Linked DNA regions of Danio rerio. The protein of the gene in region 1 purifies or fractionates together with the protein of each later gene. This does not show direct contact. Links are inferred from orthologs where the notes say so. Each region holds a gene or a part of one and is shown in the gene's direction. Other genes may lie near its edges.

Region 1 (16,426 bases):
AAGACAAGGAGGTAATTATTGCATGCTTGTTATAGCCTGTTGTTTCTTCAGAGGCTTAGAGGAAAGGTTACTGTTTTATACTTTCTCTTTTTTTTGTTGTTGTTAACCTTTGATATCTGCAAGCTGTTCTGCAACCAGAAATACAAGTTGCAAACCTGTCTTTAATCAGGTTACAAAATTATGTCATTTGTAATCATGACGTGTTCGTCTGGAATAATTAAGCATAAATTGCCTCAGAGGCTAGGTTGAAAAAGTCAATTTTTTCTTTTTTTGATCCACAGGAAAATTTATTTTATACTATATTAAATCATATACTGACGTTTTGAGATCTTTGTTGAATTCTTCAGTGTGAATTAAACTTGTTTTTAAACCCAATGTTTGATAGCATAATATATGCAACCCATAATGTTTTGGAGCAATTATCAGAGTCACGTCAGCAACGTGCCCAAAATAGATGTTTAGCCCTGCCCACTACCACGAAGCACTGTGAATAACATAACCCATTCTCATAATTCTATACCTAAACATGAACAGTTCAAATGCAAAAGCCTATAAGTGCCATCTGAATTCGTCTACAATTAGGATTTTTCTCAGGCTCCACATGTGTGTAGGTTCAGTTACTTCAATTTTAAGATGAGGAATAAGTTAATTTCATTGCCTTTATTGAGAAATAACTGAATATAAACATAATAGCCTGAAAAAAAACTATATGGCACTTTTGAATCTAAACTCTTTATATGCACATTTACTGTTGATGCACATTATTAGCATCTGTTGGCACAGAGCTAGTATGACAGAAATTGATTGGAAGGATTGGTTGATCTCATACGAGTAGCTGGTTGTTCTCCCATGTTCCTGTACAAAAGACAAGAAAACTCTTGGCAAGAGGAAGCAGAAGTTATTTTGATAAAAAATGATGAGAGCATGAACTGAAATAGAAATTTGTACCGCTAACTAATTTATTTGAGATACTTCAGTGTTCCATAATTAAGCAGGGATGTCAGCTCTGAGTTCATAATGACGAGTTTAATTGTTGTTTGTCATCATGTAGTGTCATTCTCCGGTCTTCCTCCTGTTCCTGGAGTGCGTGTGGCAGCTTGTTCAGCAGCACAGCCCGGCTTTCCAGTTTTCCGAAACCTACCTGACTGTGCTATCTGACAGTGTTCATGTGCCAATCTTCAGCACCTTTCTCTTCAACTCTGCTCATCACCGAGAAAGTGTAATGAAGGTATTGTAGAACTTCTGTACTTGATTTTATGGAGTAGGCTGAGATTTGTTATTAAACTGATTAAACTTTACAGGGATACTTCATCCAAAATTTAAATTTTGTCATCATTTATTGCCTCTCCACTAGTTCCAAGGCTGTTAGAGTTTCTTTTTTCTGTTGAACATAAAAGAAGATATTTTGATAAATGTTGGAGACCAGTAGTCAATAACTTCCTTTCTAACCAATGTGTTTCGTGGTTACTGGTTTTCAGCATTTTTCAAAATATCCTCTTCTGTGCCCAACAGAAAAAGCTCCTTAAAGTATGAAACCATTTTAGGGTGTTTAAATGGGCAATGGGGCAACACAATGGTTTAGTAGTTAGCACTGTCTCCTCACAGCAAGAAGGTCGCTGGTTCGAGTCCAGGCTGGGTCAGTTGGCATTTCTGTGTGGAGTTAGCATGCTCTCCTCGTGGCTTGCGGTACAGGTCAATTAAATAAACAAAAATTTTGCTCTAGTGTATGTGTGTGTGGGTGTTTCTCAGTGATGGGTTGCAGCTAGAAGGGTATCCGCTGTGTAAAACATATGCTGGATAAGTTGGTGTTTAATTTCGCTGTGGTGACCCCTGATAAATAAAGAGACTGAGCTGAAGGAGATTGAATAAATGAATGCATAAATGGGTAAAACAGTTTGGGTGAGCTGTACTGTAAAGTTAGTTTACTACACAGTTTTTGGATGTTGAGTACTGCTAGATGTCTCTTTAGATGTACTGTGGCTAAAAAGAAAACAGTCAGCCATCTGTAAAGCAGTCATTAGTCTACATGTACAGTCGTACGCCTCTCTGTAACTGCCTGTACTTGATTGTCTTGGCAGGCCGAGTCACCGATTGCACAAAGCAGGCCATTGAGCTGCCCTACAGTGTGGGACTGGTCGGTGCAGTTTGACAGCAAGGCCCAGAATTTCTTCTTTAACCCTCTGTATTCAGAGAAGGTGAAACATGAGAGAACTGTTCGTAGACCTCACAAACACAAGGTAAGAACATGAAATCCTAACATTAACCATCTCTTACATTTTACACTGTTTAATAATGTAGATGCAGATATGAACAAATGAACTCCTTAAGGACTGTGTTTACATCATATAATATATGACTGTAATTATATTTTAAGTGATATACCGGTAAGTGCAAATGTTTTATAGCAAAACTATTCACAGACCCAGATTTTTAAACTTTAAAATCAACACAATAGCAAGAAACTGAATGAAGTTTAATACAATTTAAAACTAAAAACTTTAAAGCTGAGGGTCCTTTTGTTATAACTAAAATATACACTACCAGTCAAAAGTTTGGGGTCAGTTTTTTTTTCTCCATGTTTTTAAGAATATTATTCTGTTTATCAAGGCTGCATTTACTAAATGTAAAAAAAATGTTAAATATTCAAAAAACTTCAAATAACTGCTTTGTTATTGTATGTAGGTTCAAATGAAATTATCACTCTAGTCATTATTGCTTTTGTTTCTATTACCATTAATAATAATAATAACATTAATAATTAATATCAGAGTGCTTTCTGAAGGATCGTGTGACTTTGAAGACTGGATAAATGAAGCTAAAAAAATCTTTAAAATCACTGGAATAAATTTTTAAATTAAATGATGAACTACTTTTGAACAGTTATTTTTTACTGTAATAATATTTCACAATTTTACTAATTTCTACTGTATTTTTGATTGAATAAATGCAGCCTTGGTGAGCAGGAGAAGCTTATTTTAAAACTAATCAGACTGACCCCAACTTTGTACATTACAGTTTAGTTTAGATAGTAGCCAAGTATTTCTGTATTTAAATTAAATATAATTTTATGTTAAAAAATAAACCACAAAAACGAACTAATCTAAATGACAAACGCACAATAAAATTGATAAATGAACTAGAATTATAACGAAAAAAGTGGAAGCTAACTATAATGGATTCTTAATGATACTAAAAAAACACTGCTGCGAAAAACATTTAATATAGTCGGTTTATCAGTCTCTGTGAAGCACTGCAGGATGTATTAGCATTTATGCACATCATTACTTTAATAAACCACAAAACACATTGTTCAGTAATCAGTTGCACTTGAATAAATGTCACAATAAGGAAGGACAAAAACTTCTATTTCATTCTGACATAAAAACACACAAAGATCTCATTTCACTTTAACCTTTTGGTTCAAAATGAAAACAAATACATTTTTAGTATGTCAGATAAATCTCTAAAATGTGTGTGTAAAGGTCAGGTGTAATAAAATCATAGCTATGCACTGCTAGAGTTTTTCAGTGTTTTGGTGACATCTACAGTCAAGAAGGAAATTACAAGTGACATCTTACACCATTTTGTTTCCTTTTGCTTTTAATTTGTTTGAATTGTACTGTGCTTTTCTTTTTGAATAATTCACAGTGTGTTTTTGCATGCATATTTAATTGATTTTGATTTCAAATCTATAGCACCAAAGGCAGTTATCCTTGCCCAGCTCAGCTTTCAAAACCCCAACCAAGAAAGGCTTCTTCAAAGACGAGACCGACAGCCTTAAGAAGATGCTCCGAGTGAAGCGTATCAGTCGCTGGATGGGCTCTCCAGACTCTCCCGTCGTCGCCAGCAAAGAGTTTTACGAGTCCTGGCAGCAGCGTCCCCTGGACTATCACGGGCTCCTGCTGCCCTCTCTGGATGGACCGTCTGTCCGCGTCTGGATGCAGCGCTACCTACGCTGGATCCCTGAAGTGCACATCATGGGTGGAGGCTCGGTGGCCATCATGACCAAGCTGATGGAGCTGCTGAGTCAAGTGGAGGATCTGAAGCGTGTGCTGGAGCAGAGAGACCCATCGCTGGCCACTCAACCCGATCACCCTCCACCTCTTCACCATCGGCTGCCCTCATTCGGTTCCTCAGGAAGACTCTCATCCTCGTTCCCCTTCACTTACAGCCGCAACCGTTCCTTCAAACCCATCATTCCCACAGGTCTAATGCAAAGCCTCATGGTGGCCGATAATCTGGCCAATCAGGAGGACGAGACCAGTTAGGCTGAGAGTTTGGTTTAATAGGAAATCTGTTTCCATCCATTAATGGTTATATTATTTAATAAGTATATTATAAGGTAGATACAGGATTAAAGTGGCCTTGAAGGTGTATAAAGTGCCTTTGGTGCTAAAGCGGGTCTTTTTTTGAAGTAAAACAGGGTTTTGTTCAACTAAATGTGCCCTACTGTATTGAAAACATAACATGAAAATTTAGACAGGATGTAGACTTTTTTTTTTGTGGAAGTTTTTTTAAGAACAGTACCTAGTATTTTCCTCTTGCTCATCACAAAACAGGAACAGGATACAGGCTTGAACTTCCAGGCTTTCCATTGTGTAAAGTGTTACTTAAAAGGGATATCGGAATAGCTGTTGTCAATTTGTTCTCCCTCAGATCATTCAAGATGCACCCTTTTTCTAAATAAGAACATTTTTACCTGGTAATAATGTGGTCATTGGTGACTACTAAAGTGTAAGTCTACAGCTTCCTGGACTTTGAAATGTTAAAAAAACATATACGGGAAAATCTAAATTTATCCTACTGATTACTGATGATTTGTTAAGCACAGGGAACTTGTACTCCAGAGGCACTCAGGTTGGTTTTTCAAGGATATGGAAAAAATGTTCAGTTTGTTTTTCATTCAGTTATGCTTCACATGGAGCCACAGATATTAAATGTTTTGCCTCTATATGTCTTTTTTCACCCTCAAAGTGTTGTTAGCTGTTGACATGCATTTTAAAAATCAGCAAGTACCATAGGTTGAGTAAAAATCTTCATTGTTCTACTGAAGGAAAAAAAAATCACCTTTGCATTTTGGATGGCATGAGGGTCATTATATCAACAGCAAGTTTTCATTTTTGGATTAATAAACCTTTAAAATCGATACCAAGTAACATTCCATACAGTATTCCATCACAGTGATCAGAATGAGCTTATTTTGAATAATAGAAAAGCTCAATCCAGCTTGTTTTCAGCTTTTTCTGGCAGGGAGAACTCTGAAATGTTGTCAACCTTCAGTTATATAAATGTTGAATGTGTGAAGGAGAACTTAGATTTTTTTAAGACCATTATATGAAAACAGGATGTATAGAACGACACACATCAGTTTCAGTGCTCTAATGTAAAACACACATTGTTTTGTGTGAATCGGATCTGTCCATCAGTAGGCTGTCTTTTATTTCATTCAGCCTTAGCTGCTATCATTTTTAGAACATTATGCGATCAGTTCACACTTTTAGAACAAAGGAGCACAAACAAATATTACTAACTTTATTACAATGAAATTGTAAGGACATGATATTGGTGATGCAAACCATTCTTTTTTTTTTTGTGATGATATAGATCAACCAAGCATCAGCATCACCATGGGTATTTTAGTCAGTGCTTACACAGATACAACAGTGGTGTTTGTGTGGAACTCTATATATGTATGGATCTAACAACAACAAATGTATGTGTATAAAACTAAATAAATTAGAAATAATTTTATACGGTAAGATTAAAAAAATCATCATAAACTGCTAATCCTTGTAACTATTGAAACATAAGCTATTGTCATACAGTATCTGCGTTTGTGCACATTTTCTTCTGTTTTTCTGCGGTGCCTACAGAACTACTGCCCCAAATTAACAGGCACTTCAGTCACATATTGTCTTCAGTGTCTGTTGTGCATCACTTTCTGTGTTTTTCTGCTGTTGTAATGTACTGAAACTGATGTAAGCTCCTGAAAGCACTGAACAGCTGGCAGAAGTGTGGAGAAAGCGGTTTCCTGACCATTTTTGTGTTTTTGTTTGCATTTTTCACTTTTGTTTTGCACTGCTGCTCTTTGCCAGTCAGTCACTGTTACTTGAACAGTCAGATGAGAGTCTGGTTCTGTTCACTTCAGTTCATCACTGCTCTTGTGTTTGACAAGGTGAACTTAATGAGAAACGTATCACTGTATCATTTTTTAAAATATTTTTCTATAACTAACTTTAAAGTTCACATTATCAGAGTTTGGCCTTGGATGTATATGAAATATTGCTTTATTTTGGAACATTGATTTTGAGATTATTATTTTCATGTAAAAGTAGCAAATACTTTTTATACGCACTTGAGAAATATGTACCTTTGACTTTATGTCCACAAAATATGATTGAAATAAAAAAAAAATAGATCAGTACTTTGCAATCGTGATCAGTGTTTTGTTGCTATGTTTATTTTATTGTTATTCTACTTGAATGTGCATATTAACAAAGCATTTTTGTTGTTTTAGTAGGATTTTGATTTGTGTGTTGGTGTAATTTTTTTCATTGTATATAGGACATTTAAATGATATAATTATATATATATTTAATTGTGTTTTTTTATTAGCCACAATTAATACGTTTGAATATTAATATTAACGTTTCTTATTTCACTTTAATTTAGTAAAATGCTTACAGTGTTAATTAACAAAATGGGCTAGTTAATTAAATTAAATAGATACTACCTAAATATTATGAAAAATGTAGTCTCGGTATGTAGTTCGGCAGGTTTTGGGACACAACCCGAGTACTGGGATGCCACATCCACTGCTGTTCCCGTCACGTCTGGACTGGTCGCCATATTAAACCTGACGGAATCGGCGACGGTCCGCGGTAGGGATCGCGAGGGGGCCCTTTCCAAAACAAATCCCGATATACACCTTCGTTTTCCCTTTTCGCCCTGGAAATCATTTATGCATCGGACTGAATAAGGCAGTGTGTTCTCAGACAGGGGTTGTCTGGGACGGAGGTTTTGTTTTAGTGTGTTTGAGAGAGAGAGAGATGAGTACTTTGACCCAGCGGAGCTCCGGCCTGGTGCAAAGACGCACCGAGGCTTCGCGCAGCGCTGCGGCCGCAGACAGAGAGCGCGGATCCGGTGACGAGGATTACGAGCCTCGTCGCGGAGAAGAGCCGGAGGACGATGACAGCGGCGACTCCAAAGAAACCAGACTCACCTTGATGGAGGAAGTGCTGCTGTTGGGCTTGAAAGACCGAGAGGTTATTGTGGTTTTGCTTTATTTTCTCAGTTGTTGTTTCTATAGTCGATGCTTAACGTTAGCATATTATCTCTCACCATCACCCACAGTTGTCGCTCATTTCGATGCTTATAAATTAGCTCTTTCAAAAATAGAAGAAGCTGAATTCTTAAATTTTGATGATTATTATATTTTGTTTATATATTGGTGACGTTTTGAGATAAAATCAAGCCACATGTTTTCGGTAATGCAATAGCATTTAGCTTGACTTGCACTGCAGCTCCAAGTTCTCTCTTTGACCCTCAAGACTCTCAAAACAAAACGTAGTTCAGTGAACAGAGTTTAAAAAACTGAACGATACCTTTAAATGTCTTAATATTACATATATTGTTTCATGTACCATATGGTAACCAGATTGGCATACACTGATATTGGCATATGAAAGTTACATAAAGCTAATTTTCGTCGCTGTCTACACAATGAGTTTGATGCCGTTTGTGTATTGCATTTTGGTAGATACAATGTTGTTCAAGACGCATGATGTAGGCCATTATCCTTACACCCACGTTCACATTCGTATGAAGCATGTAGATCCAGATACAGCCTGTATAGTCAAAACAATATTTGTTTAGGAACAAGTCCAGCGTAATCTTTATTACAGTGTGTCTTATTAAGGGTCAGATCATCCAGAACCAAGTGAAAATTAAAATGTACTATTTACTGACCCTCAAGCCACCCAAGATGTAGGTGACTTTGTTTCTTCAGTATATCCTAAAAGAACATTTTACTGAAAACCAGTGACATTGGGTATTTGTAAAATGCAAGTAAACAAAATTAATAGCAGAGGCTTCTGGTGACACATTGAGATTTTAAAAGATCACACAGAAATGAAAGTTATGTTAAAAACAAGTCCTTGTGCCATTCAATTTTGCCTGAGACATTTGTACATCTTCAGAACACAGATTAGGAGGTTCTCTCTGAGCCTTCTCAGACAGCAATGGTCAAAAGATGTTCAAAGTCCAGAAAAGAAAAGAAAACATTGTGAAAACATTGCGTGTGACTTTAGTGGTTTAACTGTAATCATACAAAGCTCTTGGCTAGCCAGTTAAGTTTGTTTATTTTGCACCAGTCTTGGGTTTTAAGTAATGTGCATGAAGCTTGACTTTAATCACTCATTGTTTGCCATGGTATTATGCAGAAGTTGAACTAAGCTGCCTTTATGGTACCTAAAAGCCTATATTGGTGCAAACAAAACTGAATTTAACCAGCTAGTAGCGCTGGACAATATATCGTTTGAGCATTGATATCACAATGTGTGTATCTGCAATAGTCACAGAGCAGGAATAGATTATTTATTAAGATATAAAGATATTTTCTTTTTTTAAAATAATTTATACAATGATGACAATGGTATTTTAAAATTGATTGTTCAATTTCTGGACCTGAATACTATTAAACTCCCCAGAAAACCGTAAAGCACTGCTTATTCCTTTTCTTTTTGCTTGTAATTTATCCAAATGAAAGCAGATGCACTGTATAAAAAATACTTGATCATTTAAATTTATCTAAATGAATGAAATATTTACAAATAGAGCTGTTCAAGTCATCTGGTGAGAGATTATATTCATATCTCAATATACATATCACAGAAACACTAAATATCGCAATGTCAGATTTTTTCAGTATTTGGCTCTACCGGCTAGCCAGCTAATCTGGCTTCATGGTACAGGCCCCTGGAACAACTTTGTTCACCAATCTCTTCTGTATCAGATAAGGGTGTGTTTTTACTATGGGCTATACAGCCAATGCGTGTTTTGCTGCTGAATTATGGCAATACATCATACTGTACATAGTAAACTTACCCTGACCTGATGTGAAAGAGAAGTTAAATAAATAAATAACAGTCAGATATATAGTTGTTTTTGTTGTGTTTTTCCTGACAAAAGTGTCATTGGAGCCAAGTTTGATTACAGTTAAAGGACAGGTGGAATGATTGACAATGTTTTTGGTTCCTTTTCTGGACTTGGAACATCTTCAGACCATAGCTGTCTGTGGAGGATGAGGAAGCTCTCAGATTTCATAACAAATATCTTAATTTGTTTTCAGAAGATGAGAAAAGGTGTTTATTTATTATTTGTAATCCGCAAATGATTCTGGCCATGTTCATGTCTGAAGTGTAAGTGTTCTGACACAGGCTGATGATGTATTTAGTGGACGCAAACTTCAGGAAAAGCTGAAGTACCATTTTAATGAACAATACAGAACACACAATCTTTGTCTGGTTGCTTCTGAGTTTGCAGCCAGCCAAACACATTCATTATCCAAAAGGAAACTTGAGCTAAAAACTGTGATAAAGGTTTTAGGACTCAAATTCTGGTAGTTTATTTGCATTTTATGAAACATGAAGATAAGATCAGTTTCAGATCGAATCACTTGCATTTTTTTTCTAAAGGAGTCCTGGAGGAGTTCGGCACTGCACAGTATTTTAAAAGTCTTATTCTCTTAAGTACACACTTTAAAACTTAAAACAATGAGCTGATAACATGCAATCAAGTTATTCAAATAATGAAGACGTCCAGAGTATGACGATAACCAGGACTAAGAACAAAGAAATTGCTTTAAGCTTCAACAAATCATTGGCTGCATTTAGTAGAACACAAAACTCCTGCTGTTGCAGCCATATATCTATATGTAATCGGATCTAATATTTAAATTAAATTATGTACAGCGATAAAATGTTTTTTTCCCATAAAATTATTGGTAAAAAAAATACAACCGAATTTGTATTAGTTATTAGCTTAATTTAAACAGTTTAAATGATTACAAATGGTAACTAACTTTTGGAGCCTTGTTGTACAGTGTTCTTAAACTAGAATGTAAAGTCCACACTAGAGGCTTAGTAGCTACTAGCTAGTTTGTAACAAAATTTGTACTCGGTTGCACCACATGTTCTTAAGGCAAAAAGTAGATGGTTGGTCATAAATACGAAGCATTTAAATCATTACACCACTTTAAAATTGTATATATATATATATATATATATATATATATATATATATATATATATATATATATATATATATTTATATGATGCATTTATAGGCTATAACTGTCATATGATAATTAAACGACCAGTTAAATTTACATATTACATAGTCGTGAATGGTTATACTTGCAAAATACACATGAAGTTATCATAATTTTTTTATATCCTACACATGAAAGCAAAACGAACAGGTAAAATAACTCCATCATAAAGAAATTTTCATTTTAATTGCTAAACACAATAAACACAAAACACTAAAAAACTCATTGAAATATAATTAAAGTCTTTCTCATAAACCAAAAACAAAATGCTAAATTTGGGAGGAAAATAAGGCTGTGGCTCTTCAATGTAAGCTGCCTTAAATATTTAGTAGTGCAACTGGCCCCAGCCGTACAAATAGTCACCGAATTATCACTCAATAATTCAGCATGCAGTAGGCTAAATTAACATGTGAAAATGTTCATGTTTGAACTATTAGGTTAACCAATTAAATGTACAAGCATCTAGCTGTTATGAATGTTTTACAAATACAATTAAAAATTCTTAAAAAGCACTCAAACACTTTTCATTATTTTGAGTTGTTTTTTTTCTCCCAAAGTGTCCACAAAATCATTCATTCATTTTCTTTTCAGCTTAGTCCCTTTATTAATCTGGGGTCTTAACTGGGGGCGGAATTAACCGCCTACTTATCCGGCATATGTTTTACGCAGCGAATGCCCTTCCAGCTGCAACCCATCACTGGGAAACATCCATACACACCCATTCACACACATACACTTACCCAATTCACCTATAGCTCATGTCTTTGGACTTGTGGGGGAAACCAGAGCACCCGGAGGAAACCCACAGAACACGGGGAGAACATGCAAACTCCACACAGAAATGCCAACTGACTCAGCCGAGGTTTGAACCAGTGACCTTCCTGCTGTGAGGTGAGCGTGCCACCCACTGCACCACCTTGCAGCCTCTTCACAAAATCATTATTGTGCAAATTCATTATCACAATATTTTGAATTATTAAATATTGCCATGTCTTTTCCACCATTGTGAGCTTCTTCCCTTTAAGTAGGATGTTTACTATGATTGTTCTTAATAAAGAGAGAAGTTTAAAATTAGCCAGTTTGGTGTTTTGGCTAACCCTTATTCAGAGCTATAATAGGTAGTGTATTGTACCTACCTCATTTTCTGGCCTTTTGGTTGAACAGGCAGGCATTAGACAAGGCACTGTTACTGAAGACGCATCTCTTTGCAGCCCATTCATGTTGAATTACTGCCTGTTGCTTTTGTTTTCTCAGCAACAGTGGCTTTTGGGTACAAAATGATGAGTATATTTCAGAAAATTGGTGTTTTTTTAAGCCAATGTCTTGGTTTTTTGCTGTCAATTTGCAGTCTAGCAGTGTCCTTGTCTTGTTTTATTTGCAAATAAGGTGTGAGCTTTAATGGGTGAAAGTACGCTTGCATGATTGGTATTAAGGACAGCTTTTTGATGAATTTTTAAAATCTATTTGAAACATAACTGCTTACACTTGGCATCTCAGACTGTCGAATTATTGCTTTTTTTTTTTACACAATAGTAGTTTGACGTGTAGATTGGTTCAGATTCTTTCACAGTTATGTTTAGGTGTTTCAAATTCATTCAGCAACTTAGATTGATTTCTGAAAGTTGCAAATGTTGTACAATTTGTTTAGTGTATCAAGTTTTAAGGGTCTTGATCATAGTGAACTCATCTCTATTTTTATTTGATGAATATTTGACCGTGACCTTACTCCATCAAGTACACATTTAATGAATAAAGTACAATAAAGGCCACTGTTTTGCATGTGGTTGGTCTTCTCCAAATAGTTGTCTTTAATTACAGTTGTCTCTGCTGGTGTCTGCTTATGTCAGCTTTTAGTGAGCTCTCCTATGTTGTTGTCAGAGCTTAAGTATCTGGTTCACTCTCATAACAGCACAGTGTAAACAAGAAAACCATAACTAAACATTTGAGCTTGAACACTGTTGTTTGATGGAGCAATATTGTCACATGCCTTCAGTGCAATTGTTCAATACTTTCATATTTTCATCATATCTTGTTTTGTCTAGGCAGGGAAATAAACAAAGAATCATAAATGGTGATCATAAAACGTCAGTACTACTACTGTAGTGAGATTATTTTGAAAAATACCTCTTGCACTTTGAGAGACTACAGTGATAAACAGAATCAGTGTAAGCTAAGTTTTTATTTTTGGTATAAAGGAATAGTCCTCCCAAAAAGAAAATTCTGCCATTATTTACTTGACCTTAACCAAACCAAAGTTTATTTATTTATTTAATTTTTTTTGTCTGTTAAACATGCATTTATTATTTTAAAGAATAATAAAAACTTGTAACTGATGACTTCCATCAGATTGGTTTATCTCTACTATGGGAGTCAGTGGGTTCGAGATGGGTCTGGGTGCAGACCTGGTGCAGTGCAATCTGAGCTGCATCCAATGCTTTTTAATCGGCTCACCTAACCCCACCCCTAACCCTACCCCTCACAGTGATGTCACTCGCTCAATTTGAGTGCATTGTGTCTGACATTGCATTGCTGAGTAATGCAATCTCAGCTTGCATCATCAAGGCTGCATCCAGATACTATTGATGGGTTCAGGTTCCAACTTTCTTTAAAATATCTTTTTCATTCATTCATTCATTCATTTTCTTTTCAGCTTAGTCCCTTTATTAATCTGGGGCCACGAAATGAACCAGCAACTTATCCAGCACATGTTTTTACGCATGATGCCACCCATTACCGGGAAACACCCATAAACTCTCGTTCACACACATACACAGAAATGTCAACTGACTCAGCCAAGGCTCGAACTAGCAACCTTCTTGCTGTGAGGCGACAGTGCTACCTACTGCGCCACTGCATTGCCCAATATCTTCTCGTGTGTTTAACAAAATAAAGAAACTCATAAAGGTTTGTAATCACTTGAGGGAGAGTAAATATTGAGTGAATTTTCATTTTGGGTGAACTATCTCTTTCATTTTTAATGGAAACCTTTTTTTCCCTGAAGTATATAATAAATGTTTTTTTCTAACCTCAAACTTTTTACCTTTCTTTGTCAGCTATAAACTGAATTGCCAAAGTTTACAAACTAACAATTACAATGAATAAAGGTGCAATTTAAGCAAAAAAACACTTAGCAATTCTTTAAATGTTAAGGAAAAGGTCATAAGAAGTCAAAAATTTGAGCAATATGATTACTTTTTTGTTTTTCTGTGGTAGAAACATACTTCCATAGGTGATGTAGACCTTTTAAAGGATAAAATATATTTTAAAGTAAATGTATAAATCACATTTTACTTTTTAAAATGAACACAGATCTTTCAAAACATCAGTTGATTATGCACAGTTGTTTTATGAAAAAGCAGCTTGGATATTTGACAGAATTTCCACTTGATTAATCTGTATATTTAATAGCATGTAAAGTGTATTTATATAGCACATTTATTGTGACCATACGCGGAAAGCACTTTACAATCATATGAGGGGGTCTCTATAATTATCAATTGTATAATAATGTTGTAATATTTAGTATTATTATCAATGAAAATTAATTTTGCGTTTTGAGTAGACTATACATGTTCAGTTAAAAGAAAAGTTTGTGGAAGTGTACCAAAGTTACATAGTTTCTCTTTTAAACTTTAAATAAAAATCTAAATTATTAATTATATTATCCACTATTATAAATAATGTAAAAGAAAATGAATTTGTTCGCATTTACATGAAGCTCTGCATTTCAATGAACATGACTTGTTAAAATGTTTGATTATTTAGCATTTCTGTTGTGTCTCCGTCAAGGGCACAGACCTCTAGTCCTATCCTCTTTCAATCAGATCTATTTGAAAACAGTGCAAAGTAAACAGTTCTTCAAAAACACTGGATGATATAACATTGTGCTTCTATCAATGGCTGTTTGCGCTTGTGCTCCACCTCAGAGTGTTGCCTGTGTTGCCAGTACCTTGAAAGAGGCCTGTTGTTTCTTAGCAGTGGCCACTGGGACGGAGGCTGGAACTGCACAAAGCAGACCTTGTTAACGCTGGAGAAATCCATCGCTCACTTCATACACTGCTTAGTACGACACAGCAGACTTACTATCCCATGCTGTTGGGCAAAATTTACTTTTTTAGTTCATGAATTCAAATTAGGCACTGACTGAAATTCAAATAGCAGATTACAACAAGCTAAACTGGAATGGCCAGAGAAGAAATTTAATGAATGTCATCATGTCTAACATCGTGTCCTAACTAAACGTAACCTGACAAGATTCTAGAGACAAGCAGTTTGACTGTTTGCACCAAAAACAACAGGACAGAAACATTTAAATACCAGCCTATTTGGTATATTATTAGGCATGGGCCGGTATAAGTTTCTGATAGTGTAATAACCTTGCATAAAAATATCACGGTTTCACTTTGTCATAGTATTACGGTTACTGCGGTTACTGTCTTGGTTAAAAAAAAAATATATATATATATATATTTATTTTAAGAAACATCTATAATGTTTTAGAGCAGTAAACATATCTGGCTAAATAATTCAACTTCTGACTTCTGCTCTCTTCATCACTTTTAAAAACACTTCATAACTCATAACTCTTATGATTTCTTCTTAACTCAAAGAAACACACAAGAACATTCACATAAACCAGAAAAACCTTGACTTGCTTGGTTTTAAAACCTTGAAACCAGTTATCGTCCCATGCCTAGATGTTATGGTAAGGTTTAGAATCGAATTAGTACATAATAAACCTCTAACATTATTAAAGGTAAAGGGACTGAGCCGAAAAGAAAATGAATGAATTAATTATTAAAGGCTGAGTGTCTGATATTGGTTAGTCACAGTTCTACCTTTAATTTTCAAATTAAAAGTTTGCCATTTTATTTTTAAGAGCTGAGGTGAACTATCTGCTGCTCCTCTAGGCTTACTTTATAGCAGGGTTGGGCAAAGTTGGTCCTGGCAGGCCGGTGTCCTGCATAGTTTAGCTCCAACTCTAATCAAACACACCTGCTTATAGATTTCTAGTAATCTTGCAGACACTGATTAGCTTTTTCAGGTGTGTTTGATTAGTGTTGGAGCTAAACTGTGCAGGACACTGGCCCTCCAGGACTTACTTTGCCCACCCCTGCTTATAGGCTGGTATGGTAATAAATGTCACACAAAATAATATCCAGACTTAGATTGGTTGCATTTAACATTGAATAAAGCACATAATCAGCACCTGAGGTGTGCATTGTCATATTAGTTTATGCTGTAATGCAATGCTGTTTTTTTATGCTGTTTTGACATAGCAGAAATAGAAACCATTTCTAAAATAGAAATTTATTGTGTCAGCATCATGGATGATTAGGACAAAAACTAATTTTAACAGGGAAAAGACGCCATTTAACGTGTGTCGTGGCATCATGCCACATGCACGCTGTAAAACAATATCTGTATATTAGCAGTTTTTCACATTTTGTCATTCGTTTTTTATTTTCGCCTGTGTATTTATGCTTTTGGATTGCATCATGGTGCCTTAATCTTTCATCCAACAGCTTCTAACATTGAAAAGTTAGAAAAGGACTTTTATTGACGATTTTATTAATTTAAAGTGATTTATTGTCTGGGCTGGTGTTCTAAATTATGCTACAAAAACCTTGTAAAAATCTGCCAGTACGTTTATTGTTATTTTACACACTTATTTCTCTCTATATTATCTCTTATACATGATAATGTTTCCAACTACTAAAATTTCAGTAAAAGTTGCTTTAAGCTTTAGAGTTATATTTTTAACGTCAAATGGCGACAGAGTGAAGATTAATGCCCATGATGCATTTGACATCCATAAATAAACAGAAAACACTGTTCATTAACTGATATTTTTTTACAGTGTATTTAGGACACGCTTTCTAAGAAATGCAGTTTCACACACAGTCACTAGATCCTCGTGTAACAATGTAACTGGAACAGTCTTCATTTCAGCTACACTGAAGCTCTAAAGTGCATAGCCCTCAACTGCATGTATACTTAATCCGTTGGTATTGTTTTTGTGTAAGGGTTACACCTCCTTCTGGAACGACTGCATTTCGTCTGGCCTGAGGGGCTGCATGCTCATTGAGCTGGCAT
Region 2 (16,309 bases), on another chromosome or scaffold:
ATCTGAGAGCTCTCCCATCATCCATAGACAGAAATGGACAAATATCATTAAAGATATTCATTCATTTTCTTTTCGGCTTATTCCCTTTAGTAATCTGGGCTCGCCACAGCGGAATCGCCAACTTATTCAGCATATGTCCTTCCAGCTGCAACTAATCACTGAGAAACACCTATTTAAACACATACACTATGGACAATTTAGCTTTCTCCGATTCACCTGTAACGCATATCTTTGGACTTGTAGGGGAAACCTGAGGACCCGAAGGAAACTCACGGGAACACGGGGAGAACATGCAAACTCCACACAGAAATGCAAACTGACCCAACCAAGGCTTGAACCAGTGACCTTCTTGCTGTGAGGCGATTGTGTTACTCACTGCTCCACAGTGACGACCCAAATTAAAGATATTGTAAAAAAATAAATAAATAATAAAAAAAAACTTTCAGTTCTCATTCATTGGTTCGACTGTAATCATATGAAACTCCAAGAAAACTTTTGTGTGCCAAAAATGTATAAAAAAACGACTTCTTCATCTATGTCATCAATATATCTGTACTATGCATCATGTGTGTTGCACTGCTGACTCTAAATGACCTGATAAGTGAGAGTATATACTGTAGGTGCTGATATTTAAAGGTTTTTTGGTGCACAAAAGTGTTTTTGTGCTTCATGTGATTACAGTTGAACCACTGAAGTCACAAGTAGTGTTTTGACAGTATTTATCCATGATGTGAATCTCAAGGTTCTGTATTAATTGAGATCTGGTGACTGTGGAACCATTTGAGTACAGTGAACTCATTGTCATGTTAAAGAAACCAGTCTGAGATGATTGGCGCTTTAAGACATGGTGTGTTATGCTGCTGGAAGTAGCCATCAGAAGATTGGTACACTGTGGGCATAAAGGGATGGACATGGTCAGCAACAATACTCAGGTAGGGTGTGGAATTGACACGATGCTTAGCTGGTTCTAATGGGCCCAAAGTGTCCCAAGAAAATATCCCCCACACCATTACACCACCACCACCAGCCTGAACCATTGATACAAGGCAAGATGGATCCATGCTTTCATGTTGTTGATGCTAAATTCTGACTCTACCATCCGTATGTGGCAGCAGAAAGAAATCAAAAATCATCAGACCAGGGGACATTATTCCAATCTTCTACTGTCCTATTTTGGTGAGCCTGTGTGAATTGTAGCCTCAGTTTCCTGTTCTTAGCTGGCAGAAGTGGCAGCCGGTGTGGTCTTCCGCTGCTGTAGCCCATCCGCCTCAAGGTTGCATGTGTTGTGTGTTCAAAGATGCTCTTCTGCATACCTTGGTTGTAACGAGTGTTTTTTTTTTTTGTGTTGCTGTTGTCTTGCTATCAGCTCAAACTAGTCTGGCACCCTTTGTCCCATTCTCCTCTGACCTCTGGCATCAACAAGGCATTAGCACCCTCACTGAGCGTACACACCGAAAGCGGTGAGAGCGTCCAAGGTCGCTCTGGCCGCCCTGGCAACAACACCGTCTGCCTTCAGCTCCGGCAGCGAGAGCATCAAAAATGGATACATTGATCTCGTATTTAAAGGGGCCGGTAAAGCTACGCATCGATGAATTTGCTCTTCAGTGTTTGGACTCTCAGTAATGACTTTAAACCACACTGAACTGAACTAAACTTAACTGAACTTAAACACTAAAAACTGAACTACCCTGATCCAGTTACTATGACCATTTATGATAAGCTGCTTTGACGCAATCTACATTGTAAAAGCGCTATACAAATAAAGCTGAATTGAATTGAATGTGGTGCGGCTTTGCTCCACTTAATTATTCAATGTGTCCATATGTCTGAAATATCCTGAAGCAGCAATACTGTTTTGTACTGTCGCATGAGATTCCCGCTTTTTTGAAGATATATATATATATATATATTTATGTTAAATATATATATATATATATATATATATATATATATATATATATATATATATATATATATATATATATATATATATATATATATATATATATATATATATATATATATATATTTAACATTAATGCACATCAGTAACTCGCCAGTAATTTTTTTAATGCATGTTCCTGGAAGAAAACTTTGTAAATAATTGAAAATCTGGCGACCGCAATAATCAAACCCTTGGGGACAACTGTAGTCAGAACCAAAGTTCACAGGTCTGTGCTCTCTGAACTCCTCTCAAGCGGTGGACTTCTTCATTCTGATTGCTTGCCGCCGAACTGCGTCATAGCTCATTTCCAAAAAGTTAACTTGATTTCAACTCTCCTCGACACTCACACCGGCGGAGACGCGCCATGCTTCTCCTCACCGCTTATCGCCGCCGGCTCTCACTGAAAATTAATGATTTCCGGCTACTTTGACGCTCTCGCCGCTTTCGGTGTGAACGTATGGACAGAACTGCCTCTCACTGAATATTTCCTTTTTTCTGATCATTCCTTGTAAATCCCAGAGATGGTTGTGCGTGAAAATCTCAGTTGATCAGCAGTTTCTGAAATACTCAAACCAGCCCGTTTGACACCAACAACCGTGTCATGTTCAAAGTCATTTAATTCACCTTTCTTCCCCATTCTGATCGTAGGTTTGAACTGGAGCAGATTGTCTTGACCATGTTTACGTGCCCAAATGCATTGATTTGCTGCTATGTGATTGGCTGATTAGGAATTTGCATTAGCAAGCAGTCGGACAGGTATACCTATCAAACAAAAAGAAGTGGCCGGTGATTGTATGTCATATATGGGAAAGTAAGCAACTCAAACATATTCAGCCACAATCTCTGACACCAACATTGAGTTCACATGACGGAAGTGTGTGTACCATATTACTGCAATCTATTGTTGCAAACTGTATACTGTTTCACATTGGAAGTAAAATGAGCTGTAATGTCTGTGTACTTACACCAGTTTCATCTCAGAATAGTCTGCAAGGGATTCTGTGAGGATCTTCTTCTGGATGTGCTGCTCTACTTCGTGTGATCGTGGAGTTATTTTTAGCTGCACATACAGTCAGTGACTGTGCAGCTCAAGCAGTGTTCATAAAGAACCGAGGGTTGTTTGTTTGTGTGTGTAAAGCCACCATTTTACACTGAAAGAGCCTCGCTTAGGTTTTGCTGTGCAGTGAACTCTACAAATTGTTTGTGGAGCATGAAAGAACTTCACAATCCTCCAGGCTGTTCATTTAATACTGTGACAGAGTACAGCTCGCAACAAGCACAACACTGAGCCTTTCAGGGTTTTGGGGAGACGATTTGACTTCTCCTGATGTAGCTCACTGATTTTATTTTCAGTGCGCGCATAAAAAGGAAGTGTAGGCTTGTGTTAATTTGAGCCTGACAGAGCCATTCGGTTTTGCAGCGTTTCAGACAATCAGAAGAGGAAGGAAGCGGCAGAGAAATGAATGGTTTTAAAGAGCTTTACTCATGAGAGGGAGTAATTGATGATTGCTAGTAATGATTTCTTTTGTTTTTAGAGAAAAAAAATAGAATTAAAGGAACAATTCACTCAAAATGAAAACTCTTGTGTTCCAAGCAGGTTTGGACTCTTGTTTTGGACCACCATGATCGTGTGTATTGGTTCATTTAATGTCAACTGTGCCCTTTAATAGTCAGTCAGTCATATTCAAGTCCACTTAATATAAAGTCTGTTGACTGTTGTTTAGCCACAGATGTTAATGGAGATCTTCAGTCGTTTTATGCGATGCTTCCCCCTGCTGTTCGCCAATGTGAAGATACAATCAAGAAGCAAACATCTCTATCCATGTGTCTATCAGTTGTTTATCCACCTATTTGTCTGTCTACCTGTTTGTTTTATTATTAATTATCTGTTTATTTGCCTGTCTGTCTGTTTATCTGTCTGTCTATTTCTTCAATCATCTTATTGTCTGTCAGTCTAATGGTCCGTTTTGTCTTTATTTTAGTCTGTTTTTCTATATGCCATTTAACTGTCTGTCTATCATCTAACTGTCTGTATCTCTGTCTGTTAATCTAGCCTATATGTCCATTTAACTGTGTGTCTGTCTATCTGTCTGTCTATCTATTATCTACCTGTCTGTACTTCTGTCTATCTAGCCTATATGTTCATTTAACTGTCTGTCTTTCTGTTGTCTTCCTATATTTTTGTCAGTTTGTCCAGCCTATATGTTCGTTGTCTGTCTGTCAGTTCATCTGCCTGTCTGTCAGACTGTCTATAATGTACCAGTCTGTATCTCTGTCTGTTTGCCTAGCCTATGTGTCGATTTAACTGTCTGTCTGTCTGTCTGTCCTCTACCTGTCTGAATTTCTGTCTGTCTTGCCTATATGATCATTCAACTGTCTGTCTGTCTGTCTACATTTTTGTCTGTTTGTTTAGACTATATGCCTGCTTAGCTGTTTGTCAGTCTAAAATCTACCCTTCTGTATCTCTGTTTTTCTGACGTATATGTCCATTTAACTGTCTGTCTGTCTGTCTGTCTATCATCCACGTCTGTATCTCTGTCTGTTAAAATAGCCTATATGTCCGTTATCTGTCTGTCTGTCTATAATCTACCTGTCTGCATTTCTGCCTATTTGTCTATGTCTATTTAACTGCCTGTCTATCGTCTACCTGTCTGTATCTCTGTCTTTTTAGCTAGCTTTTATGACCATTTAACTGTCTGTCTGTCCATCTATCATTGTCCGTCTGCATTTCTGTCTGTTTGTCTTTATGGCCATTTAACTGTCTGTCTGTTATCTACTCCTCTGCTGTCTGGATGTCTATGTTTTTGTCTGTTTGTCTAGACTATATGCCTGCTTAGCTATCTGTCTCTTTATAATCTACCTGTTTGTATCTCTGTCTGTTTGTCTAACCTATATGTCCATTTAACTGTCTATCATCTACCTATCTGTATTTCTGTCTGTTTGTCTAGCCCAGGGGTGGGCAAACTCGGTACTGGAGGGCCGGTGTCCTGCACAGTTTAGCTCTAACTCTGATCAAACACACCTGCAAATAGATTTCTAGTGATCTTGAAGACACTGATTGGCTTGTTCAGGTGTGTTTGATTAGAGATGGAGCTAAACTATGCAGGACACCGGCCCTCCAGGACCGAGTTTGCCCACCCCTGGTGTAGCCTATATGTTTGTTTAACTGTCTGTCTGTCTCTCGTCGACCTGTTTGTATCTTTGTCTGTTTGTCTATTTAACTATCTGTCTGTCTATCATCTATCTGTTTGTGTTTCTGTTAGTCTGTCCTATTTGTCTGTTTAACTGTCTGTCTGTCCGTCTATCATCTACCTGTCTGTATTTCTGTTGGACTAGCCACTATGTCCGTTTAACTGACTGTCTGTCTATCATCTACCTGTCTGTATCTCAGTCAGTTTAACTGTCTGTCTGTCTGTCTGTCTACCGTATACTTGTCTGTATCTCTGTTTGTCTAGCCTATATGTCCATTTAACCGTCTGTCTGTTTGTCTATCATCTTCCCATCTGTGTTTGTCAGTCTAGCCTTTATGTCCATTTAACTGTCTGTCTATCATCCACCCTTATCTATCTATCTATCTATCTATCTATCTATCTATCTATCTATCTATCTATCTATCTATCTATCTATCTGTCTGTCTGTCTGTCTGTCTGTCTGTCTGTCTGTCTGTCTGTCTGTCTGTCTGTCTGTCTGTCTGTCTGTCTGTCTGTCTGTCTGTCTGACTGTCTGTCTGTCTATCTATCTATCTATCTATCTATCTATCTATCTATCTATCTATCTATCTATCTATCTATCTATCTATCTATCTATCTATCTATCTATCTATCTAAATTATGTCATAAATACCATGACATGAACTGAGCACTTTAACGCGTGCTAGTGTGTGTGTGTGTGTGTGTGTGTGTCTCTCTCTCTCCCTCTCTGTGTGTGTTCGCGTTCGCGCAGTCAGGAAGAGTCTCGCCGAGAGAATCAGACTCACCAACACAGCCAGCAGCATCAGATTCAGCAGTACCAGTAATGAATGGAGGCTGACCGACAGGCGGGTGGATATTAATGATAAACGCATGTTCGGGGCCACTGCCTGACGCTCGGGGGTTTTACACCTCACATGTGTCGTCAGTAGCGCAAGGGTGAGTCGATGCTTTTTAAATGTCACGGTTTCACTGTTAGCCTGTTAGCCGTGCGGGTCTCCTCTGACTAAAAACTAGGACCTGAACTCGCCAACAGCAGCTGCGGACAGTCATACAGAGAAGTGCACCTCCGGTGAACTCATATCCGTGTGCTCGGATCATAGTCGTGGTTATTTCATCGCTGTTATATGAAGAAACCGAGAGAATCGTAAGCTAGCAGGCTAACCTCTGTTAGCTTATAAAATACACAGAATGTCGCGGTAGCTAAGGGGGAGCGAACATTTATGTTCATTTCATGATGTTACACAAACTCTTTTTAAATCAGCTGGTTATTTTTATTTGCGTAAATGTAGTAAAAGTCAATGTTAGGTGTGTTTACGCGCATGACAGCAGCGGCTCGGTCAGTCGAGCTGCTCCTTTACTGACCCTCATCAGTAAAAGCTGTTTAGTTGCTCGTTAAACGTTATAACTTACGTGAACAACCGCTTTACGTATTACTGTAGGTGTGATGGTGAAGGTGTGTTTTTGTGAGTGTGTGCCGTATGAATGGCTGGTTGTGTGTCATTAGTGCCTGCGTGGACAGGATATGCTGCAGGTCCACCCAGTCAGGCTCTGCATGAATGTGCACTTGCTCACCTGGATGTTCAGCCTCTCTCTCTGTGTGCGAGTGTGGGTGTGTGCGTCTTTAAAACTGATCACTTTTACAAATATCTGGACTGGTGTATGAATATAGGTCTCTTCTTATAAAACAGACCTTGCGTTCGACTGTTTTTCCTTGTCGGACATTCATGCCAGAGTATTCCCAGTATTTGCTGGATGGGTGTTACCAAGAAGACCACTGTCCTCATTAACGTACATTGCCAACTTTTGCCAGACAAATACGACAAAAACTAAAAAGCTAATATCATTATTACTGTTTTTATTTACTATATAAAGCTTTACTGTAAACAAATACCACACAATTCCTAAATGTTGTCCCAACAAACATTAGGTTAACTCAATTATCTTTACAAAGTTGAGTGGAGTGAACATAAACAATTACAATGTTACCCTCAAGAATTGTGTTGTTTCAGTTTATTTTACAAAGTAGTTTAAACAAGCATCAAAAATATTTTTTTGAGTCCTTTTAGGGGACTATCTCTACCTGTATGAGCTGTCTGTCATTCTCCAACTTGCCTTTTCACACATTCCTCATCAAACTGTATATAGATGAGTCTCTGTGTTATAGAGTTTTCTCAGTCTTCAGTGTCACGGTTGTTAACTGCTCTGCCAGCAGGTATTAGTTTCTTCACCTTTGAACTGCTTCAAGAAATATTTTATGATGCATCTTTTTAAAGCTCCTTGTAATATTTCCGGATTTTACATTGTTTATTTTTGTGTTCATTGTTGTAAATTATTATGCTTGCAGTGCTTTTTGCATTCAAAAAACACATGATAAAATTCATTATTGTTAATGATAGTAATCATAATCATTATCATAATATATCCAATGGTCCATTGGTGAGTCCAAGAAACAGGAATTGAAATCTATCTATCTATCTATCTATCTATCTATCTATCTATCTATCTATCTATCTATCTATCTATCTATCTATCTATCTATCTATCTATCTATCTATCTATCTATCTATCTATCTATCTATCTATCCTGTCCCTCCGTCCGTCCGTCCGTCCATCTGTCCGCCTGCCTATCCATCCGCCTTTCTATCTGTCCATCTATCTGTTATTTACATCCCTAATAATAAACATTACATGTATTTTATCAATAATTTAACATGCTACATTTTAAAACTGGAACATTTGAAAAGCTAAAAAATAAAGAAGCCATTTTACAATAACAAAATATCATTAAATTGCAACAAGCAGGAGTTCATGCATTATGCATTAATGTCCAATTACATGTGAGCAGAATATCAGACTGTAGAATAAGACAAGCTCTAAAGGGGAAGCTGTTACTACGGTGCATCCAGAAAGTATTCATAACACTTCACTTTTTCCACATTTTTAATGTTACAGCCTTATTCCTAAATGGATTCAATTCATTTATTTCCTCAAAATTCTACACACAAAACCCCATAATGACAATGTGAAAAAAAGAGTTTTTGAAATGGTTGCATTGTCTGATTATTAAAAATGGCCTGTAAAGGTGCCTTAGAAAAGTCTAATTTGACTCAAACATGTTATTTTGTTCTTACACTTGTTTGTTTACATCTGTTATTTATTATTATTTATCTGTTTTAGGATTTTTTTCATGTTCCAATTTCAAAGGTCTAAACTCTAAAAAAAAAAAAAAGTTCTTTGAAACAGTGTACCTGAATTATCACACTATTAGGTTGTACAAATGTTATTATTATTATTATTATTATTAGTGATATAAGTTTCAAAGTGGCAATAATATTGTTTATCACAATTAAATTTGGTGCAGTTTATCGCCCTGCAAAAATAGCTATCATGACAGCTCCACAACAAACAGTAATTTTGGTAAATTCATGTCTCTATATAAACGTGGTTGTCACTAGTGAAGTTTTAAACTTTAGCTGTGTTCAACTGACATTTTTATTAGGGAACATTAATTGATTGATTATTTGATTGATACATGGGTTGGAAGAGAGAAAATGTTGGTCTGCGGTCACTTCTCGAGCCGTCAGAAACACTCAGCCAGCAGCATTTACCAGTTGTGTGTAGTTTAAAAGGTCATGAAACCCCTCTTTACACTCAACCCATCCACAAATTCACATCTAGCAAATATGACATCATTGCGGTGTTGACGGAAGTTTGCATTGAGTGTTGCTGACCTCGTTTTTGTGTGCCAGTGTGCACATCGTTTTTTTATTAATATTATTTTTACTTTATATGCAGCTCATATTCTGAGGATGGGCAACTTTCAGGCGAGTCTGTACAGACTGGATGAATATGCATTGTGTGCTGACGTCTTTAAAAATCTAAGTACTTTAGGGAACAATATTGTGTATTGTCTGAGGTTTTCCAAGACTTTCTAAGTACTTTGTTCTATTTATTTGTTTTTAATATGGACCCACAAGAGGGTAATGGCTTGTTTAACAGTTTATCAGGTTCCTAATTGATTGAATGTTTTTCATATCTTGATTTATTATTTTATATTGTCCGTTTATGAAGTTGTACTTGCTATATATAATTATTATATTATATTAGCATCAAATTACAAAAAAAAAATAATTACCACTTATGTGAGATGTTTTTTTTAATGCACCATCTATGAGCGGGACAGTAAATTTTCTCTCTTCTGTCTACCGTTATCAGTCTCCATTAATTGTTTTTGTCCTTTTTTGAAAGCCGTAAAAACACTTTTGTGGAGTTTTATTTTATTATTTGAGCGAATAGGCACTCTCTTATTTACTGTGCTCCAAATTTACACAACTATGACAACTTTTGCTGCTGAGAAACCCAGAGATGTGAAAAGGTTCTATTAAATTTACCATGTGGTTAATGCATGAGGCGCCCTCTAGCATCCAGTATGAATGAGAACGTGTGTTTCACAGTACTGTTTTTCTCTGTGGAAAAATAGAAATTATTTTCATTGGTAAATGAATAAATGTAAATGATATCTTTATCGCGATAAACCCCAAAAAGTATTGTGAAATTGTTTAAAAAGTGTCGTGAAGCGCTTTGAAATGTGCATTTCTATTTGACGTTTGACGTAATCTCAACTAAATCATAAAGTGCGAGTGAGGCATAGAGTAGCTCCTCCCTTTTAAAAAAAACACCCAATCACAGCTCTGCCACTGCGAGTGGTTGAGCTCAAGCACATCAAATCAACTGCAAACTTCAAGTGTCTTGAAGGGGGCGGTGCATGTCAGATAATAGAGAGCATTTGATTGGTCAAGATTTGATGAGAAACTGAAATATAAGGTAACGTGAAAAAATAAATCCTAGATCCATTTTGGCGGAAGTGACAGACGGCAAGTTTCGGATGTTTATACCATGCTAATATCTTTTACTCACAAATAATTTTATTGTCTTACTCCACACTAGATAATAGATATCCTTAAAACTAACATTTTGAAACCAGTGCTTCCCACAGGTTTCAAATATACTTGCGGTGGTAACCAGATGGAAACACACCATTTACCAACATCACATAAATAGTTATACTAGTTATTATCTATATGCGATAAACAAAACATAATGTAATTTTTAACAATAATTTGATTTATATGGTGGCGCAGTGGGTAGCACGTTCGCCTCACAGCAAGAAGGTCGCTGGTTTGAACCTCGGCTGGGTCAGTTGGCATTTCTGTCTTGAGTTTGCATGTTCTGTCCATGTTCACATGGGTTTCCTCTTACTCCTCCGGTTTTCCCCCACACAGTGAAAAGACGTGGTACAGGTGAATTAGGTATGCTAAAATTGTGAGTGGTGTATGTGTGTGAATGAGGGTGTGTGGATGTTTTCCAGTGATGGGTTGTGGCTGGAAGGGCATTCGCTGTGTTAAAAACATATGCTGGATAAGTTAGTGGTTCATTCCGCTGTGGCAATCCCAGATTAATTAAGGGACTAAGCCGAAAAGAAAATGAATAAATGAATTAATAAATTAATTTTATTTATTATGACATAGTCTTTAATAACAACGAAATGCAAAAATGCATAAAAGCTTTAAAAAGCGATGGCAAAAGTTGAATCTTAGACATTTTAGGAGATTTCGAAATTCGGGCCAGACAAAAAAAGTGCGCCTCTGTGGGTCTGCAAAGCTGTGGAAGTTTGTGTGTGAGTGCTGACAGGCTTTCTCCCACAGAACGAAACGGGTAAACGAGAGAAGATTTTACACTACTTAATTGATCGCAGATTGGTTATACTAGGCGTATACAATTTTAAAAGTGTAAAAGGATGTTAATAATAGTAAAAATAAATAAACGTGACATACTTCGGTGACCCATCCAAGTAAAGTCTATGTGTGGCAAGTAGGCATGGGACGATAACCGTTTTCAAGGTGTACCGCAATTTGGAAAAGTTTTAATAAAGCTACGTGTATGATTTTTTAAAACTTTTTGTGTTTGTTTTTAAAGACAACAGTATCTCCAGCAAAAAAAAAAAAAAAAAATGTACAGCCGCTTGCAATGAATTTTACTGCAAATATAAAAAATATGAATTTAATGTTGCTTCTTTTTAAAATAACTTTAATGATTTTTTTTTTTTGGTGGTGGTTATAAAAGCCTGTTATATCAAAGAGCTGTCAAGACACAAAATGAATAAATGTGATGGACTGAATGGTGTATGTGTCAGAGAATATATAGATGAGATTTTATGCCACACAAAACCTAAAAGCAAAAACAAGCTGCTTCTCGTAGGAAATTAACATACAGTGATGTAGTCTTTAGGAACTGAAGACAAAAATAGCACAAAAAAGCTAAAAATATTCTACAGCTAGAAGTAATTATATTGTCTTGTGTGTGGTAAAATAAACATGTTTAAATATCAAATGCAGTTTAGTCTTTCATGACTTTTAATGACAAGGGGATATACATTTTATACACACTCCAAAAATATTTTAGCTGCTTGTTCAAACTACTAATTAAAATGAGCTGAATCAACAATTGTCGAGGGATTTTTGCGGACAATTTAAAAGCCCTATGAAATTAATTTCTGTTAGTATCAGTATTGTTAGTTTTTAAGATATCCATATGCTAGCTAGTGTGCTCCAAAACTGTGACAAAATTTGCATTTAGAAGATATAAACTTGATATAACCAGTTTGTCACTTCCACCAAAATGGAGCAATGATTTTTTTTTTCCACTTTACCTCACGCTACAGTTTCTCATCACATCATAACCAATCAAATGCTCTCTAGTATCTGACAAGCCCCGCCGCCTTCAAGACGCTTCTCACGATTTGCTTTTCATTTGATGCGATTGAGCTCAATCGCTCTCACTGGCAGAGCAGTGATAAAAACAAAATGACATTGGCTATTTTTTTAAAAGGGTAAGGAGCTACACTATGTCCCTTTTTCTGTGTTTTGGTTGAGATTACGTCAAACATCAAATAGGATTTCATTTCAAAGCAGCTCACGGCACTTTTTATTATTTATATTCAATCTACTTTTGTACAAACAATTAAAGTTAACTTAATCCATTTGTGTTGGGACAACATAAAAGGAATTATGGGGAACCCAGCATTTTTGACTGTTTTACAGTTAAAGTCAGAATTATTAGCCCCCCTTTAATTTTTTTTTCTTTTTTAAATATTTCCCTAATGATATTTAACCGAGGAAAGACATTTTCACAGTATGTTTTATAATATATTTTCTTCCAAGGAAAGTCTTATTTGTTTTATTTTGGCTAAAATAAAATCACTTTTAAATTTTTTAAATCAAAATGATAAGCCCCTTTAAGCTATTTGTTTATTCTCTACAGAACAAACCATCATTTTACAATAACTTGCTTAATTACCCTAACCTGCCTAGTGACCTTAATTAACCTAGTTAAACCTTTAAATGTCACTTTAAGCTGTATAGAAGTGTCTTGAAAAATATCTAGTCAAATGTTATTTACTGTCATCATGGCAAAGGGCTAATAATTCTGACTTCAACTGTAAATAATAGCTAAAAATATGAAAATAAGTAAATAAATAAGACAAATAAAGAGCGAAGTAAGCAAGAGTGTGTGAAAGTTTATTTATTTCACTTAAGCAGCATCACAGTATTGGTTAGAGAAATTATTACTCCAAATCTGGAGCTCCTGGAAATCTCTACAGCTATAATGAAACTCAATGAGAGATAAACTTGACCTTGATGGCTTGTTAAAATTAGGAGTATTTGCAACAAAAGATTCAGTGCGTTACAGAACACTCATATTTTCAAGGCATAAAATCGCATACGTATTATCAGTTAATGTAATTTCCCAGAAACTCTCAAACTGATTCTAATAGGTTGTTATTATTAAGTCTTGCATGTGGATTTGTTGTTTTTCTGTTTTGCTTTTCATCGTTGCTCTTCACAAAGGCTACAGAGAGAATCAATGCAGATCGATGTACTGTTGCATTAGAAAGAAACGTTGCAATGGGATTTTGTTATATAACCAAAACAATGTATTTTGTGGGTTTCTGCCAAACTGTTGTTTTTGTACAGTTTTCACGAGTGGGCTGGTTCCACATATAGCATTTAAGTGCACAGACCACTGTAGTAAGTGTGTGTATGTGTGTGTAGTAGAAGTGTTTGCAATGTTAGCTTCTCAAACACAGATAAGCCTCAGGCTGAGATCAGCGAGAGCTGAGAGAGAGTTGAGTTTGTGTTTGTCATGGCTCTGAACTACAGGCTGTTTGCCCACAGAGTCTTTAAAAAAAAAAAATTTAGTGGAATGGAAGTGAAGGTTTTGATGTTTGGCACTTTCAAGTGTGTACGTTTGTGCCGGAATGTAATTATAGTCTCTTTTTGTTGTTAGAAGGGTGAGTGTTTGTATAATCCATTGTTGAAAGTAAACTGTAATGGATTTATTCATTCATTCATTTCCTTTTCGGCTTAGTCCCTTTATTAATCCGGGGTCGCCACAGCGGAATGAACCGCCAACTTATCCAGCATATGTTTTATCCAACGGATGCCCTTCCAACTGCATCCCATCACTGGGAAATATCCATACACTCTCATTCATACACATACACTACGAACAATTTAGCTTATAGCCCAATTCACTCATAGCACATGTCTTTGGAATTGTGGGGGAAACCAAAGCACCCGGAGGAAACCCACACCAACATGGGGAGAACATGTAAACTCCAAACAGATATGCCAACTGACTCAGGCAAAGCTCAAACCAGTGACTTTCTTACTGTGAGACGATTGTGCTATCCACTGCGCCGCCGTGATGCCCTTAGTGGATTTTATAAAGAAAAAAAGTTAAGCTATAGTTTTTTCGATAGTCCATAGAACAAACCATCATTATACAATAACTTGCTTAATTACCCCAACCTGCCTAGTTAACTTAAATAACCTAGTTAAGCCTTTAAATGCCACTTTAAGCTGTATAGAAGTGTCTTGAAAAATACCTAGTCAAATATTATTTACTGTCATCATGGCAAAAATAAAATAAACCAGTTAATACAAGCGAGTTATCAAAACTATTATGTTTAGAAATGTTTTTAAAATAAATCTTTCCGTTGAACAGAAATTGGAGAAAAAAAAATAAACATGGGGCGAATAATTCTGACTTCAACTGTACCTTCCACTTTAGTCAAAAGCGAGTGATTAAACATTAATGAAAAACTCCACACTGATGATGAAAAAGTTTTGCCTCGTTCACACTGCGTGATTTTAGCCCCGATTTTGGCTCGCAGACAGGTTTTGAGAAATCGCCGACAAATACCTGAAATCACAGGCAAATCGGTGCTCGTGCACGTGAGTGACAATCACACAGTATGAACTATCAAAAACGCGATCTGAGAGAATCCTCATAATACCTGTGAGATATTTGGCGTGCTAAATATGTGGAGCTGTCTGCGATTTAAATCATGCATTGTAAAATGAGTTTTGACTTAAAATAACATCAGCGATCGCCTACAGCCAATGAGAGTGCAGCATTCACTTGTGTGTGTGTGTGTGTGTGTGTATAGCTGCTCCAGGCCAGCGGGAGGCTGGGGAAGAAGTTAAAAGTGATCTTTTTCGGTTTATTTGGACCCAAGAAATGGAGGAAAAACTAGTGGAGGTTTGACAGGACTAAAGAGCACCCTTGTCTGTTTGACGATTCGTACAGAAAGAAATTAGTTTATTATCAACTTAATTTGAGGAGAAATGGCTAATTCCCTTTAAACCCAGGTGAGCAAATATGTACATTTTTCTACCCCATTAAAAGCTTCTTTCTCATTATGTCGTTAATAACAAAAGATATACTGCGTGTTTTTGACTGTGAGACGTAGTTTGGACGAAGTTGTCGGCGATTCTTTTTATTGTAAAGTCATGCAATGTGAAAGTCCCTGTCGCCGATCCATCTTGCATTGTAAACAAAGCAGCGACGAAATGTTAGCCCAGATAGTCATGCAGTGTGAAAACATCTGTGAGACAACTACTTTGAAAATCATGCAGTCTGAACTCGCCATTAAACATTTACATGGTTTGTAATAAAAATAAAGTTGTTTCTTAATGCAAAATAGATTTCAGGACTTAATATAAACTTACTTTCTTTTTCTTTAATTTAGGAGTTTAATTCCGGTCATTTTTGCCCCAAAGGACAAATAGCATATACAGAACAACAGGAGGGTTAATATATCAAAATATCCTGCTTGTGTTTTCACTGTTGTCTCTTTTTCTCTTCCTGAAGGAGATCAAATCTGCTGGGAGATGCCAGACTTGTGCAGACAGTAGCAGCAGACGAAACACAACACCAGGCTGAACTCCAAATCAAACATTAGGAGGATTTAAGGTGACGTGTGTTATTAAAGACACACACACACTCAAGAGACTGCGTCTTGTGTAAGTGAGGAAGCTCTCCTGCATCAGTGAGTGCTCTTATGTGAAGTGCTCTGATTTCGTTCGGCGTCTGGCAGTGTCATGTCTGTCAGGGTTGACTCACAGCACTAGAGAAGTAACTGGCACGCTTTTCATGATTTTATTCACAATTAAATTCCGGTCGCGATTCAACATTGCTTCAGCTGGAGAGACAGTGCCCAGCATAAATGAATATTTTTATCAATTTCTTAGTGAATCTAGATTATATATTTTGGTGCATTAAAAAAAGCTGATTTATTAAACAGATGCATTTATAAAAATATAATTTTGCTCAGCGAGCATATTTAGAAATAGAAAGATAAAACATCCGCTATGCTGGATAAGTTGGGGGTTCATTCCCTGATGAATAAAGTGATTAAGCCGAAGGAAAATGAATGAAAGAATGAATTTTTGGCAATTGGCAATTATTTAAATTGAAGACATTTATATTCTAAAACATTCAAAAAAATCAGAGTGCCAGCTCATTGTAGTCTGATTCTTAGTCAAAAGCTGTGCTCATTAACAATAACATTCTACTTTCTACTCTCATAGGAAGTGTGTCCAGTCCAGCCTGACGGGTGGTGCTGGTGTTGGTGAGACTGCGGGCAGTGCCATGTCCCAGGCATAGGTTGAGTCTCCGGTGTGGTGGTGGGAGGTGATGAAGTTGAAGCAGCGTGTGGTGGTGCTCTGCGCTGTGCTCTTCCTCCTCGGCCTGGCCAAGGTCTTCCTACTGGATGGAGGAGAGGGATCAGCCGCTAGCCGCCGCGACCTCCGGGCCTTCCGAAAGATGG

Evidence for each region.
Region 2: the proteins of golph3a (region 1) and fam20b purify together in Homo sapiens (affinity purification with mass spectrometry; 3 studies listed by BioGRID and IntAct, with this or other methods). This does not show direct contact. The link is inferred for Danio rerio from reciprocal best matches to the Homo sapiens genes GOLPH3 and FAM20B.

What each region holds. Positions count from the first base shown.
Region 1 is NC_133180.1:42,013,683-42,030,108, reverse strand, and holds the start of golph3a (Golgi phosphoprotein 3), read left to right. Parts: upstream 1-6,844; 5' UTR 6,845-7,049; coding exon 7,050-7,265; intron 7,266-16,356; coding exon 16,357-16,426. UniProt on the Homo sapiens protein: Phosphatidylinositol-4-phosphate-binding protein that links Golgi membranes to the cytoskeleton and may participate in the tensile force required for vesicle budding from the Golgi.
Region 2 is NC_133195.1:17,131,213-17,147,521, reverse strand, and holds the start of fam20b (glycosaminoglycan xylosylkinase), read left to right. Parts: upstream 1-5,918; 5' UTR 5,919-6,072; intron 6,073-15,351; 5' UTR 15,352-15,453; exon of another isoform or gene 15,454-15,503; intron 15,504-16,070; 5' UTR 16,071-16,176; coding exon 16,177-16,309. UniProt on the Homo sapiens protein: Responsible for the 2-O-phosphorylation of xylose in the glycosaminoglycan-protein linkage region of proteoglycans thereby regulating the amount of mature GAG chains.